2 linked regions of the Oreochromis niloticus genome follow. The protein of the gene in region 1 interacts with the protein of each later gene in a pairwise test. Links are inferred from orthologs where the notes say so. Each region holds a gene or a part of one and is shown in the gene's direction. Other genes may lie near its edges.

Region 1 (7,674 bases):
ATTTTATGATATGACATTATGAATTTTCTTGTTTGTTTTTTTAAAGGAAAAAAATTTACAAAATAAAATGTTCAGTTTTTAAATTACTAACCTTTCCTGTCGACTTGATACCCTTCCAAACACAAAAGTAGCAGATAATCCAGCTGAGGATGAGACAAAGGACCAGTTCCCATCGCAAGCCCCCAACTTCCTCAATACCACCAGAGACCTTTAAAACCCGACGCCTGGTCAAATGAAGGGAGCAATGATGTGGGTGAGAGGGAGACCAGGAGACCACAAATGAACGGCAGGTGAAAGGGAAGGACATGTGGAAATTGGGAGGGAGGAAAACTGAGTGCCAGATTGGATGACTGACGGATGACAAAAAAAAAGTGTGGGAGGAAGTGGAGAGTTAAAAGAAAACATCTGAAAATGATCATAAAGAAAGGAGGAGAGAGGGAACGAGACAAGTAAGGGAAGGGAGTGAAAAAGGGGAAAAAGGCATTCTGTTTAACTTGTGTGAGTTGACTATATGCTTACTGCCAGAACTCCACAACAGGAAGAGTAGTGTTCAGTCTGGACGTCATACTCAGATTCAGATGGCTCAAGTCCAAGCATGAGTCTGGTATAGGGAAATAAAACATCAGCAAGGTAAAAATGCCCATTTACAGTGTCAAAGGTGTAGCCTTCAAATTATAGTTCATATATTCTATATTCAAAACTCTTACAGCACACAACATGCCAGGCATACAATAGCCACTGCTTTTTAGAATATACCAGTACTGTAGTACCTGTGTTCCAGTAGTGTCCACATGTGGCCCAAGGTAAATCCCCACTGAAAGACTGGAACAGGTAAAAGAACGCCCATGCCAGGATTATAATATAAGATGTTGCACTGAATGCGATGATTAAGTGACTGGCATAGCCCATGCCTAAAATAAACGAATAAATAAATACAATTGGTAAGGGCCAAGTATTGAAACAGTTCTGTTCTTGCACAGCACCTAAAGTCTGAGAGCTAAAAGGTGCGCAAAGGAAACACCGCAGACGTAAGCTATATAAAAGTGTAATGTCAGTCGAAACACTGTGTAAACACTTTCTCTTTGCAGAGGTCTACTGTCTATAAATAAGGTCGTTGTGCGATAAAGCAGGAGTATAACTGGAATATAACCAACATATTTATGAAATGCATTCATGTGGTTCATACACTTAACAATCATGCGTGTAGTAATCTTTCAGTAGCAGTGATTACTCTCCTACTGGAGGTGTAAACAACTTCCCCTCTGGCACCTTGCCTCAACACTGTTTGTAGTTGGACCGAGACCATTTTTGGACACGGAGGCGGTCTCAGCGGTGTTTCTAGGGGAATAATCGAGCACGCATAAAAAAATAGACTAGGATACAAGCCCGTTGGTAGATATAAGGACTCACTGAATATGTATAAATTATGACTGACATTTCGGAGAAAAGTTTGGGGACGTTCATTTTAATTACCTTGAAAGAGCGGACAAATCCTTCTCCAGCAAGTAATTCCCCCCTGGCTAGTGTACTGTCCCAAGGCAGTCTCAAGGAAAAAGAGGGGGATCCCGCACGTGAATATGAACAAGATGTATGGGATGAAAAACACACCTGTAAGAAAGGTGGAATTTTTCGTTGTTTACACAAGGAGGAAAAAAATACCGTTGGACAAAATGTGCTTGACAACTAAGAGCGTTTCTTTACGCTATCACTCACCTCCTCCGTTTCTGTAGCACAGGTAGGGGAACCTCCACACATTCCCGGGTCCAATGATCGCACCCATCACAGTCAATATAAACTCGGCTTTGGTTCCCCAGTGCCCCCTTCCTTCCACCTCTTCAGCCTTCTCTGGGTGACTGTTTGGCACACGAGCTGTGGAGGTGCAATTCTTGCCGTTTGTGGTCATCTGTTCCCCCATTTAAATGGTTTACTTGGTGCCAGATTTCCTTTGTTTCTGTGTAAAGTTCCCCGCGCACTGGACTAAACCTCACACGGGGTTGGTCACACGAATATGAAGCTGAAGATGCCCTAATGTGGCAGCGGCTCTGATACGCTGGCCCTGTTACTGTGACTTGTGTTGGCTGAGAGGGGTACTCGCCTACTTAAGCTGCAGAGAAATGTGTGTTTTGTGGGATGCAGGGGGGAAAGAGTGATGAAAGAAGCTGGTGATGGGGTCTACTGCTCCGCCTTAATTCATCCGACACCGACAGCAAAACAAACCCTGGGGAACATTTCTACACACTATTCATCCTCCTGAGAACAAAGGAAAAAAGAATCTTTTCAATCAAACATTTTCTTTTGTTATTTCCTTCCTCTTTGGAGCTAAAAGACACACAAAATCAGATACCAATGGAAATCCCGGGTTTTCCTCTATTTAGTATGTATGGACTTATAGGGTAGCTCAAATAACTCGAAAGATAAAGACAAAAAACAAATGTCCATTCCAGATGATATAAATGAATAGACTGGTTCTCAGGAGGTTATTTATTTATTTATTATTATTATTATTATTATTATTTTATATGGCCTCATATATCTTAACTCATAGTACGGTAAACAAATAAATGCAGAAAAAACAACAGGTTTTTACGCTTTACTTGGATCTCGAACTCAGAGAAGACATTTAAAACTGTTTTGACTCAAAAAAAAAATGTCAAAAATAGATGCAGACATCTGAAGACTCTAGCAACATTTATCATAGTAATTTGATTTAGCATTAAATGTCTTGTTTTTCTGTATAAGAAAATCGGAGTCCAGCCAATGGTTCCTAATGGACCTAAGAATTGTGCATAACTTCTGCCAATTACGCACAATTCTTAGATCGACCTTTAGGTGGCACTATTTATAACATTATTTTTCGTACCACACAGCTCTCTATAACACAAAAAAAGTCCAAATGTTACACTGAGAATAATATGCATTTAATTTTCTGATTATTTTATTGGTTTGGCTAATAAATAAAGTAATGTAAAGATTTAGACATGCCCTGGAACTTTAACAGGCATCTTGACATTATTTATGTATTTATTTATTGTAGAGAAAATAAGCAACTACTCCTGCAAACTCAGAAAAAAAGTTTGGGCAACACTCTAACTCGATAAGCCTCAGAACTTTGAATCCTTAAAATTAATTCAATATTTAAGGCAGGGCAGAATTATTTGTTATGCATTATAGTTATTTATCATGAATTATCATGTGTTGGCAGTTTCTGATCCAGATAAGTTGTCTTACTCTTAAACTGCACTAATACTCAATACCAAGGATCTGAAAATGATGCAGTGGCAGAAAGATGACACTGAAGCACCCCAACTGTGTACTTTTGCAAAATGCCACATCATTCAATTCAGTTGTATTTATATAGTGACAAGTAAAACCAGCTGTCACCTCAAAAGTTACCTTTTTATATTATAGGTTAAAGATCCCAGTGTGTTAGAGCAGGGATGAAGCACTTGGTGACAGTGGGAAGGAAAAACTCCCTTTTAACAGGAAGAAATCAAGAAGCAGAAGCAGATTCAGGGAGGGGTAGCCATCTGCCACGCTGGAATGGGGATGAGGGGAAAAAGAACAGAGCAGAGGTAGACTGGAGAAAAGACAAACTATAAAAGAGAGTTAAAAATTATTCACTAAGTAAAAAACTGATGAACAAAGAAGAAACTCTAAGCCCCCAGTCTACGACAGCATAACTTAGGGACGATTCAGTGTCACTGGATCCAGCCCTAACTATAAGCTTTATCCAAAAGCAAAGTTTTAAGCCTTATCATAAAAGTAAAGGTGTCTGTGTCCTGAATCCAAACTGCAAGCTGATTTCACCGAAGATGGGCCTGAAAGCTGAAGGCTCTGCTGCAAACTCAACACTGAGAAACTATAGGAACCACACGTAAGTCAGCAGTCTGAGAGCAAAGAACTTAGTACAGTAAGGTACTATGAGGTTTTTAAAATATAATGGGGTGTGATTATTCAAGACCTGGTAACTGAAGAGAAGGATATTAAATTAAACTTTGGTTCTGCACATTTGTTTAATATGCAAATTGAAAATCGCCTGGTCAAAAATGGCTCAAAGTTTAATTAGAGTGTTCCTGGAGGTCAAGGTAATGCCATCTAGACTCTGGTTAGACACCGTGTTTCTAAGATTTTCAGGGCTGAGTGCAATAACCTCAGTTTTGTCTGAGTTTAGAAGCAGAAAATTAGAAGTCATCCAGACATTTGTGTATTTAAGACGTGCATGTAATTTAACTAAGCATTGTATGTCATCTGGCAAATACGGGGAAACAAACTACTGGGAAAAAAAATTAAAGGCAAAGAAAAGCTGCAGGTTTTGTACAGCAGTGCTGTTGCACTGGTGGACTGCAGCGCTACTGGAGCCGGCTGGGCTGAAAATCAGTGAGCTCATTCTGGCTACGCTGACAGGAGGGCGGGGCTCCCAGCATCATCACCACCGGCCATCACTTCATTGTACGGGGCTGCTGCTGATGCAGAGACCATAGCAGGCGATTGTGTTTCTCTTATTTAGTAACGGAAGCATGCCATGGATGTGGTTTCTCACCCGTTAGGTCTTCACATTGGATGGGAATCTGTTGTGAGGTAAGGCGATGAAATCTGTCGGCAGTGTGGCTGCTGTAGTTGAGGTTTATCACCGTCTGAACTGGGAGTTACTGAGACTAGCGGGCCTGTTGGCTTGACTCACACTGATCATCCCAGAAGCGAAGCGAGAGATGTTAAGACTGTTTTTGTTTTTTGTTTAATCTCACCTCCGCTTTAAAAATAAATGTAACACTGGAGCGAGAAGAGGCCACCATCGCGTACTGTGGTATAAACCCCTAAAGCATGTCTTATTTAGCCCGGCAGCAGAGATTTAGCCTGCCTGTCGGAAGTGGCAGAGCTCGGCCTACACCAGCAAACCCTTTAAAGATGACGGGGATGGAGCCTGTGTCCGCTTCGGGGTTTTCCTCGCCATGCAGAGCCGGATGCTCACGCTGCATCGAGCATATTTCGAGCTTTTGGTAGCCGTGATTGTTGTGCAGTGAGGATCCCAGGTGGTGTTGCTTGTGCCTTTGGGTAAAGCCAGATAAGCATCCTTTTCTATAATTATCAGGCACGTGTAGTAATTCTGGATGTGGGTTTCCTTTTTTCATCCTTCTTCTTCTGCTTGACAGATCGTTACACGTTGCTGGCCGTGTCGTAAAAGGAAAGGATGCTGCAGTGATGCTGCAAGAGGATGCTAGTCCACAGTGGGTTGGCAGGGCCTCCAGATCGAGGCTCAGAGTCTGTAGCCTACAACTGCCTCAGGGTGTTACACTGGCCTGATTTAACAGACATCACCCCAGCTGGGAAGGTGTTTGTCACAGTATTGTTTTATGGCCAGGGCAGATGCAGGCTAATGACTGACCACAAGCTAATTGTTTATAGATTGCTTTATAAATGCAAGAGTCATCCAATAGAAAACACTGATAGCAAAATGTGGCAAAAGGAGATGACAAAAACAGGAAAAAATGAGATGAGACCTTTTTTTGCTTTGGTTGACCTGTGGGCTTATTACTAATAATAATGCTCTATAAATTTGTTAAATATGTTGCTGTTGTCAGAACCAGCTGAGCAGAGGTGAGATAGTTATATATATCCCTGTATCATTAAGTCTAGAATCCTATTTTCAGATCTTATCCATGCATCATCAAGGATTACTTTGGGTATAAAGAGGAATTTATTATCCCGAACAACTACAGAAGCTTGCAGCTTCAACATAACAGTCAATGCTAACACCATACTATAATTGCAAGCCATCACTACATATTACAGCTGTATTGTAGATGTTATAATGTTTGTGGACATTTAGCCAGGCATACAGGAAATATTACAAATTAAAATTTGCAATAACAATGATGCAAACCACCATTTCTGTTTTCTGTTTCAACAAATGTATTTTCCAATTTGTTAATCTTGCAAGATACACCTTATTTCCCACTCTTATTAATACAACTATTGTTTTAGAATTATATTTACTTTTTCGAACTTTAATTTGTTTAAATATGAATTATTAAATAAAAAAATGGAAAGAAAACCAAGTATTTTAAACATGGAGCAGATGTACACCATAGTCATTTAGATCCATTTCCTGCACTATTTCCAGCATTAGCAGAGCTCTGCTTATACACAGGGTTGGTATTTTGACCTCAGGCAAATGGATTAGAAAGCATCTTTTGGTCAGGACTGAAATGTAATCCAATAACAAGAAGAACAGTTCTTCTTCACTTTAGCCAAAGTGATGGCACTTTGAACCAGATTATGTCACAGCTCTAAACCAGACTGATTAAACTTAGTTTGCCCCTCGATGTTGGGGCAATACTGGCATTGGTCCAGCTAAGTTTTACTGAGAGGGTTGCATAACAGGGATTAACTAAATCAAAAATAGTCCTGAAATGCAAGATTGTGTTTGATGAAAAATGAACATGACAGAAAGATAAAGCTGAAAGTGCCAGTTGGTTGAGCTGTCACAAACACGTGGACATAACATTGCTAAAGAGATCAGTCTGTGTGTCTAGGTCTGGTATTAGGGAGGAGGTTGGATTTCTGCTTCACATCTGGAACACGAGCTCCCAACAGTGTTCCGTCTGTATTTACAAAATCATATTACATATATCATATCATATATCTGAGTCTTAAGTGATAACTGTTAGGTGGATTGTGACATTAATGAATCATATTGAATGACTGAACATGCAGTAGAGTATTTATTCCTGTGTGCTTTGACTTGGCAGAGAATTATGTATATGAGAAACACATCATCATACCTGCATGTAGACATGGTCAAGACAGTTGAATTATCAGATTCACAGTTCTCTGGACCAGAAGTTAGAGAGGAGAATGGACAGACAGAGCTAATAACGAAGGCAACAATACCTCAAACAAACACTTGTTGCAGCCAAGGTATGCAGAAGAGCATTTCTGAACATATAATACCTTGAACCTTGAAGCAGATGGGTTGTGGGTGCAGAAGACCACACCAGGTGCTGCTTCTGTCAGCTAAGAACAGCAAACTGAGGCTACAACCCATATGTGCTCATCTAAATTGGACAATAGAAGATTGGAAATAACGTTGCCTGGTCAGATCAGTCTCGATTCCTGCTGCAACTGTCGAATGTTTGAATTTGATGTAAACAAAATGAAAGCATGGATCCATTCATCCTCAACAGTTCAGGTTGCTGGTGGTGGTGTGATGCTAATGTGATATTTTCTGCATGAAATAGTGGTCCAATCTGGTACTACTAATGTGTACCTAAAAAGTGGCTGGCATGTATGTTTTCAGCTTTGCACTACGAGTGTTCATAGTAAAGCAGTGTAAAAATACACATTAATAGGTGGAAGACTTGGTGGTGGCACATATTAAACAAAAGACTTCCAACCATGTGACTGTTTGGACAGGGTTAGGGAAAAAATGCTTGGCTAGGCTTTGAGAAAATCACGATATGGGGAAAATTAACCTTTTCAGGATGTTATCCACAGAATTCTCGCATCTGTAAAAAGCTTATAGTCCTTTATTTGTTTACTACTGTGAGGATATGCACTACAAGTAGTGGTGACACCTGTTTTCTGAAAAAGACAAGGTGTTTTACATGCCCTTACCACAAGAGTAAGTTTACATATACAGGGATTATTTCAGTCATCTTCAAGGTTGAGCACTGT
Region 2 (7,507 bases), on another chromosome or scaffold:
CCTGAGAAATTACCTTCTCCTGAAAAGAAAGATGTTCAGACACAACTTCCCACACTGTGACCGCCAATGATAAGAGAGGCATTAGACTGAAAAGTGACCTCTTGCACCATCCATCTTTGTGGCAGCTTACTTTTTCTTTTTAAAAGTAAGAGGTTTGTTGTATTCGGAGGTTGGGTGCTTCAGAATAAAGCAGTGCATCAACAAAATGGGTATCCTTTTCCTATACAGCGGAACAGAGCATTTATTTTAGTTGAGCAATTATGAATTCTGTAATGAAAACATGAAATGGACTTAACAGTCATGAAAGTGCTTCCATAAGAAACTAAAGCACTGGGTTTAAACAGTGCTATTTTAATTACATAAAGTAATCATAAAGTAATATACAGTCTTTTCTCTTTTGTCGACTCGCCTACAGTTTCTTGCCCAACAAAAACAGAAAAACAAAATTCAAAATTTCTGTAACCAAAATAGTACAGTGCAATTTATGTATTTCGAGGTATTTTCCTTCAGCAGGTTCTGGTATTCAGCTGTTGATTATTTTCATTAGTATGTGGCAAACAATCCCAGAATTGAAGGAACTTTCAGGCCAGCTAAAATAATGCCTTTTTGTAGGTTTGCCACTTTATATTATGTAACTGGATGGCAGAAAAAAAACCCCTAACTTTATTAGTGGATTGTTGCTCAAACCAGAAAAGAATAAATTTAACATTTATTCATTCAATAAATAAATGAATAATAAATACATAAAATGAACATGTGTCTTTAATGGCATGTTTATATGTTTACATGAAGCAAATGATGTCAAGATATTGCAGGTTAGTTTCTTTTATTGTCTTTCGGGTTTTTTTAATTTTCAAAAACAATTCAAAAGTTATTTAGTTGTATTTATTTCTTATTTTATTTTTATGGGTCGTTGTAATACTTTTATTTTAAAAACCGGAAGTTTACATTAACCGCCTTTATTCTGAAGCCTAGATGTTGAAACAGGAAGTATTTCAGCTGTGCAACATCCAATTAGAATGGACGGAAATTAAATCCGCTACCTGACATTTTCCCCATGGGCGGATCAAAACAAGCAGGGAGGTGAAGGTAACGCTAATATTAAGCAGCCTAACATGATGCTTGTGTCTCTCTCTGCTCGCTAAGTGCATTGTAAGTAGCTCAGATGTTTTTGGCCCAGTGTTCGTGTTGGGGAACATTAACGTCAGGGAGCTAAGGTGACTGAGAGGAGGGCTCTGAGTAACTTTCACGTCTGCACGGTGAAAGCAGGGACTGCTAGCTGCTTATAGGGACTGAGCAATGTCTGCAGTGTTAGTTATATAAGGTGTGCTTCATCTGTCGCTAAGCCCGAGCCGGTTTTTGAACATATGCTAGCAAGCTAACTGTTACTGTCAGCTTGTAGCCCGATTAAAAACACTTTTAGCTGACAAAGTTATTTGGAAATTAATTAAATCAACGTGTGGACGTTTGAAAAGATGACATGCTATATTTACCTCTGCTGAAGGGCTACAAAAGTATGAGATGAGGAGGGAGTGTCTACTGCTAGGGGGATGGCCTCTTCGACTGTGAAGTTGGCTAACGATTTGGGGGATATAAATGAATCAGCCACACTTAAGTCACACAAACTGGTATAAACAACCACAAATAAGCCATCTCTCCAATAATTGGATGTTAGATAATAAGTTGCATAACTTTTCTCAAGCTGATTAAAGCTCAAGCGACCGAGTGTGGTCATTTAGGACTTAAAGTATTCCTGTCTAAAATATAACTTTTAATGGCTTTATTGTTGTTTGAGTGCATACCTGCTTCCGATTAGAGTAACAGGAACCTCTATCTTGCATAATCAAGCTAATCCACGCACCCCACCTCACATCAGCAAACAAATGCAGGGGGTAATAGTTCATGATTTGGCCTGGTGCATGAGGCGCATAGGATGGATGGAGGTCAAGGATGCTGCCTGTGAACAAACGTTTTGGATATGTTGTTACCACTAAACATTTAATCTTTATAGAAAAATCCAATTAAATTTATTGATGCCATTTTTTGTGTGTGGAATATCTCAATAAAAATACACATACATATAATTTTTATTTCAATTTCAACATCCTAGCTGTAAAATTATTCTTTCTACTTATGGCCTTCAAATATGCTAGTGCACGAAATGCTATCAATTTTCAAGAAAATTCAGGGTGTTTTTTGAAGCTCCATGCTCCTGACGTTATAGTCATTATGAGCTTAATGATGTAATTCAAATAGTTTTCTAGATATAGCATGGAACTTAAAAAGATCAACATACATTACAGTCAGCCAGAATGGGTAGCTTGCCAATGGGTGCTTAAATGGCCACAGTCATCAAAAATATGCGAGTGCTGTCTCTTCGGTAGCTGTGGGAATGGTGACATCATGTAGGTCAGGCAAACAAGAAGAGGCTTATTCTAGAAGTAGGCCATTGTCTCAAGTCATACTGCAAAGACCTAATCTCTACACAGCCAGTCAGTGACCTCAGAGAGGTTGGTAGTAGTTTTTCATCTCACTCTTTATTAGCATGAACTATGGAAATTACAGTCACTGCTAAAGCATACATCTATATACAAATGTTCTGTTTGCAACAATGAAATTACAGAAATGGAGAAGAAATTATCAACAGTTACATGTTGATGGCAGACACTCTCTTTCTCTTCAAACATGCACATTCACTCTCCTGAGAGGTGTGCTGTTAAGAAAGGTCATTGCTTTCTTTGCATTAGCTTGGTAAATCCTAAATTCTTGGTCAAAGATAATTTCAGTTTTTTCTGTAACCCAGACTTTCTGACTCAGTCTCAGTGAATGCTCACAAAAATAGAGTAATTAATTTGCCATTTCACTCTTCTTTTGCACAAAATGGGCCATTTAAGTGCTACCCACTTGAGTCCGAGCAATTCTATGTAATAAAAAAAGACTAAAGAAATGATCATCAAAAAAAGAAAATGATAAAAAGCAACATTGGTTTTGCAAATATGGCAAGCGAGTAATTCTGCAGAAAATAATTTATTCTTTTGAGTTAATACACGAATGTTAGCACTCACTACAGGCTTTTATTTATTTATTATTTCTCAAGTTTTTTTAAACATTAAATGAGTGTGACATTGCTCCATAGACACACTTATTAATTTTCTGCATCACCTGCTGACTATTTGAAGCACACAGTTTGTGTTGCTCTAACGTCACAGCTTCCTTTAATGGTAATGTAAAAATGCAAATCAACAGGTTGTATGTATAAAACACATTTATTTCTTTTTAAAATAGTCTGTGAGTGCCACAATTTCATTGATTGTTTTAGTTTTCACCTTAATAGGAATACTAATTCTGTTCTGAAGAAAAACGTGTTATACATGAAACCTGTTGAGTCTTCTGGTACTGCCAAGTCTGCTTCACACTGCTGTGAATAAAATACTACAAAATTCAATCAGTAAAATTAATTTTACTTAGATCTGACTGCGCTAAAGTGCATGTTAGAGAATTTTTAGATGTTAGATGTTATATTTTTTATTTTTTTTTACTGACTTCTATCCCCTGTTCCTCTGATACTTTTTGACTGAAGTAGGTAGCACTTGATCTGTCAACTTTGTGCAGAAGATGGGTGAAATGACACATCAAACGCCCTTTTTTTATAAATGTTTGAGCACTCTCAGAGGCTGAAGCAGAAGCCTGGGATAACAGAGAACATTGATGACTCCTGTCTTGATATGAGTTATCTGAATTTGCTTGTTAGTACATTGTTTCAGTTATGTGTAATTCATCCAGGTTAAAAGAAAGCATCTTTGTGACTCGGAAAGTTGAGGCTAAAGTTTTCAAACTTCCTGAAAAATAATTAGTCTTTTGTCAGACCTTCACCTCAGCATGCTGTTGGAAAATCAGACTGTGAAGTGAAGTGCCACAAGCTAATCAAAAAAAGGGCGCTTCAGTTTCAGGGCTCTTCTGGAGCAAATGCGGGTCCACTTATCAAATATCGTGGTTCGGTTAAGCACTTAAAGAGAATAGAGTGGTTAATATTATTAAGCCCCTTTTCTTATGAAATATGAGTTTTTTTCTTGAAATATTTCTACAAATATCTTGCAAATTTGCTCAAATACTTTTTTTTTAAGAAATTGCTTTTATTTGATAATACAACCCTATTGTGACAGTGAGGTTTTTTTTCTCCTTTACACCAAATGGATGGAGGTCAGGGTGTAGAGTCAGCTACCCTCTCTCTGGGGCTGATAGGTATTCTGTGTCTGTCCTATGGTTGCTTCAGTAGGGCTGATGTTTGCTGTCCGGGGGAAATGGATACTGGGCTTTGTGGTGAACGACAGGCCTTCTAATCAAAGCCACCACTTCCCTCCTGTTTGTTTGCGCTATCAGCCTACAGGCCACATTCCCTCCACTAGGGGTTACGCTTGGCTACTCTATGTCAGTGAGGTCAGAGGTTCACAGGACTGGAAAGTGAGAGTGACATTCCAGCCGGGAGAGTCAGATATACAAGCTCCTTGGCTTGAAAGTGTACAGGCTGTAAATAGCTGCTGGACCTGGGAGTCAGGGGATCAACAGGGTATAATCAGAGAGAGTGGGGGTGTTATTGGAGATTGAGGAGGGGGGCAGTCAATGAGCTTTGGAGTTATTTTGGGAAGGATTTTGGTTAGATGTTCTACTGGACCCAGTCTGTGTCTTTTGATTTTAGCTTAGCACGACTGGGAGGCTCACATGGAGATCAACAAGAAAGAGGATAAAGGAGAAGATGACAGTGAGTGAGGGTTGGTTGGGAAGATTTTAGGCTCAATGTTGCTTTCCCAGGCTTACACCTGTGTGTGGGTGTGTGTGTATGCTTCTAGTTCAGCCTCCAAGGTTCCTTTGTGAAAGCTTCCTGTGTCCGCATTACAGTGTCACTTTTTTGAGATTAGGCTCGTAGTTTGGTGTGTTCACCAAAAACCTTTCTTTGTTTTCTAATCTGCTGGCAAAGGAATCTCTCAAAGGTGCTATGAGTCAAATGCTGACATTCTTTGAAAAGCCCTGTCTTGTTGGGGTGATAGCTTGAATGCGCCTTCCCCCTATATTCTTCAGGCGACACCACAGATTAAAATACCATGTTTTTTATATTATGTTAGTTCTGTGCATACAAGTTACATTTCCCTGTATTGCACTGCCAGATCAAATGAAAACATCGCTGTAGCTAGCCTGTGTGCTTTTATTGAGAGATTAGACCTACTTGTGTTCTCAGAATAGGCTTTCTAATATTGTTCCAGCCGCAGGCCCTGAGGGGGAGATGACAAAGGAGGATGTTTCAGAGCCTGTTGAAGGCGACACGGTCCTGGGCTGCCGCGCTAGACTCTCTTCTCATCAGCGGCCAGTGATCCACCAGGTGGCCTCTGCACCCATGCCCAGTGACTGTGGTGAGTATTCACGCTCTCACTGTGCAGCTATGTGACATTTCAGGCTAGTTAACGCTTTCTCTTTGCAGCATCGACAGGCTGTGAAATGCCACAAGATATGAGACTGAAGAAAGGTTGATGGCTTAAATTGACACAGAGCGATGATGGTGATAGAGAGTCTCTGGGTTCTAATAATGTAGCTGGATATGTTAGTTACACTTTGACATTGTTCTTTTGTAGTGATTTATTTTTAAACAAGAACGTTGTGACTGTTATCGTCTATATCTTGAATTACCTAATTAATCGTAAAGCCATTTCAGCAGGTTTGATGCTGATTTGCTTTAATGTCCTTAAATACTTGGATGTGGTCACAATTTTTTTTAAAAGTTGGTACTGACTCTGCATTTTAAGAAAGTTTGATTTCTTTAAGAAATTACTGTGTTGATTTGGTGCTAGGTTTTTGAGGTGAACAGAAGTCAAGTAACACTTGACTGTTCAATTACTTCTAAGTTGAGTGATGTAATTTACAGTCTAATTTTTATATGTTTAATGCCTTTTTTCCCCAAGACCCTCTTAAAGTTGAATCTTTAATCAAAGTATTTCATTTCAGATTTGCTGTAGTTGCGTACAGAGATAAAATTATGAAAAATTTCATGCCCAAATACTTACGGACTTAGCCGACTACAGTTAGTGTTAACTTTTGGCCTTTCACAGTGAAAGCCATTTACCTTCAGCCCCAGCCGGGTCATCTAATGCCTCATTTGGTTCACGGCATGCCATCTACTGTCACATCTGTTTTCATTTGCCTCTGCAAGGGCAGCAAGGGCATTTCCCAAGATTAGTAATTTGCTGAATCGATTGAACAGTCAGTTGCAGAAACGTCTGCAATAAACGTCTGTGCTGCAGAGTTTCACACATGCTCTCTTCATGTCTGTACACGGGAGAGAAATATTTCCGGTCCCACTCCTCATTATACTTAACATGTGTCACTTTCGTTCCTCTTCATTGCTTCCAGAGTTCTCCTTCTTTGACCCCAGTGAGCCGCAATGCAGGGAGGTTCTGTTGGATCCCAGCACCACCATACCAGAGCTGTTTGCTGTCCTCAGGCAGTGGGTGCCCCAGGTTCAGAAGAACATTGACCTCATCGGCAATGAGGTGACATTAAAAAATGTCCAGCTGCTGCGGAATTTCACAGCGGTCCCTTCTGTAGCTGTAATGCTTTTATTTTTGTCATAATATAATCAACTGAAACTTCAGAGGACTTCAGATTAATATAAGTTCTGATTTATTTTTTTTCATTGTTATGGACTCTGTTCAGATACACACCAAATCCCTTCTGCCCGTGTTACACAAAGTAGCTGCATTGCAGTAAACTGTGCAGAGAAGCACTCATCTCAAGGGTAAAAGAAGGCGATCATTTTCTCTGAGTAACTATCACCCTTGAGAAATAAATACCTTGTTTCAATGTCAGTTTACGTAACACCTGTTGTCCAGATTTAAAGATGAGTAGAGTTATGAAAGCCTTGAATTACTTGTCATTCATCACACAATTTCCCCCTAATTTCATTTTAACCTGTTATGGAAGATTTCTGCACGCCAACACCAAGTCCTTAGTGGCACATACTGCATATCTTTTCTTTGCACAGATCCTAAAGAGAGGCTGTGCTGTGAATGATCGAGACGGTCTGACAGATATGAGCCTCCTGCACTACTGCTGCAAGGCCGGAGCCCCAGGCATTGGTAAGTATTGACAGAGGTGGTGAATAAGCACTCTCAGCTGCAGGGTAGAAATAAACAGACATCTACTCTGACGTATGTGTGTGTTAATTTATGTGACCACTCTACTGCTGAACATTATTCTGTATACCTCAGTAAGTGCAGCTGTTCATCAACCACTTCTTAAATACACTCTTTAGAGCTGACTTACTGTCTGTTACTACAACTCCTCTCAACTCTAACACCTGTGTTTGTGACCTGTTCTTCAGGCGATGCAGACACGGCAGCGAGCTTTGCTCGGCAGCTCCTCGCCCTGGGCGCGGATCCAAACCTTCGTTCACGGTGGACTAACATGAGGGCTTTGCACTACGCTGCGTACTTCGATGTGCCCCAGCTTATCCGTGTGG

Evidence for each region.
Region 2: the proteins of jakmip2 (region 1) and CAP-Gly domain-containing linker protein 4 interact in binary tests that used the Homo sapiens proteins (3 or more experiments, as listed by UniProt). The two-hybrid records come from large-scale screens. The link is inferred for Oreochromis niloticus from reciprocal best matches to the Homo sapiens genes JAKMIP2 and CLIP4.

Annotation. Positions count from the first base shown.
Region 1 is NC_031975.2:21,410,078-21,417,751, reverse strand, and holds the start of jakmip2 (janus kinase and microtubule-interacting protein 2), read left to right. Parts: upstream 1-4,404; 5' UTR 4,405-4,578; intron 4,579-7,674. Other genes in the region: sodium- and chloride-dependent GABA transporter 2, read right to left, coding at 92-224, 520-601, 771-911, 1,474-1,608, 1,714-1,915.
Region 2 is NC_031983.2:24,619,459-24,626,965, reverse strand, and holds the start of CAP-Gly domain-containing linker protein 4, read left to right. Parts: upstream 1-4,251; 5' UTR 4,252-4,719; coding exon 4,720-4,759; intron 4,760-5,258; coding exon 5,259-5,405; intron 5,406-6,399; coding exon 6,400-6,539; intron 6,540-7,030; coding exon 7,031-7,124; intron 7,125-7,369; coding exon 7,370-7,507.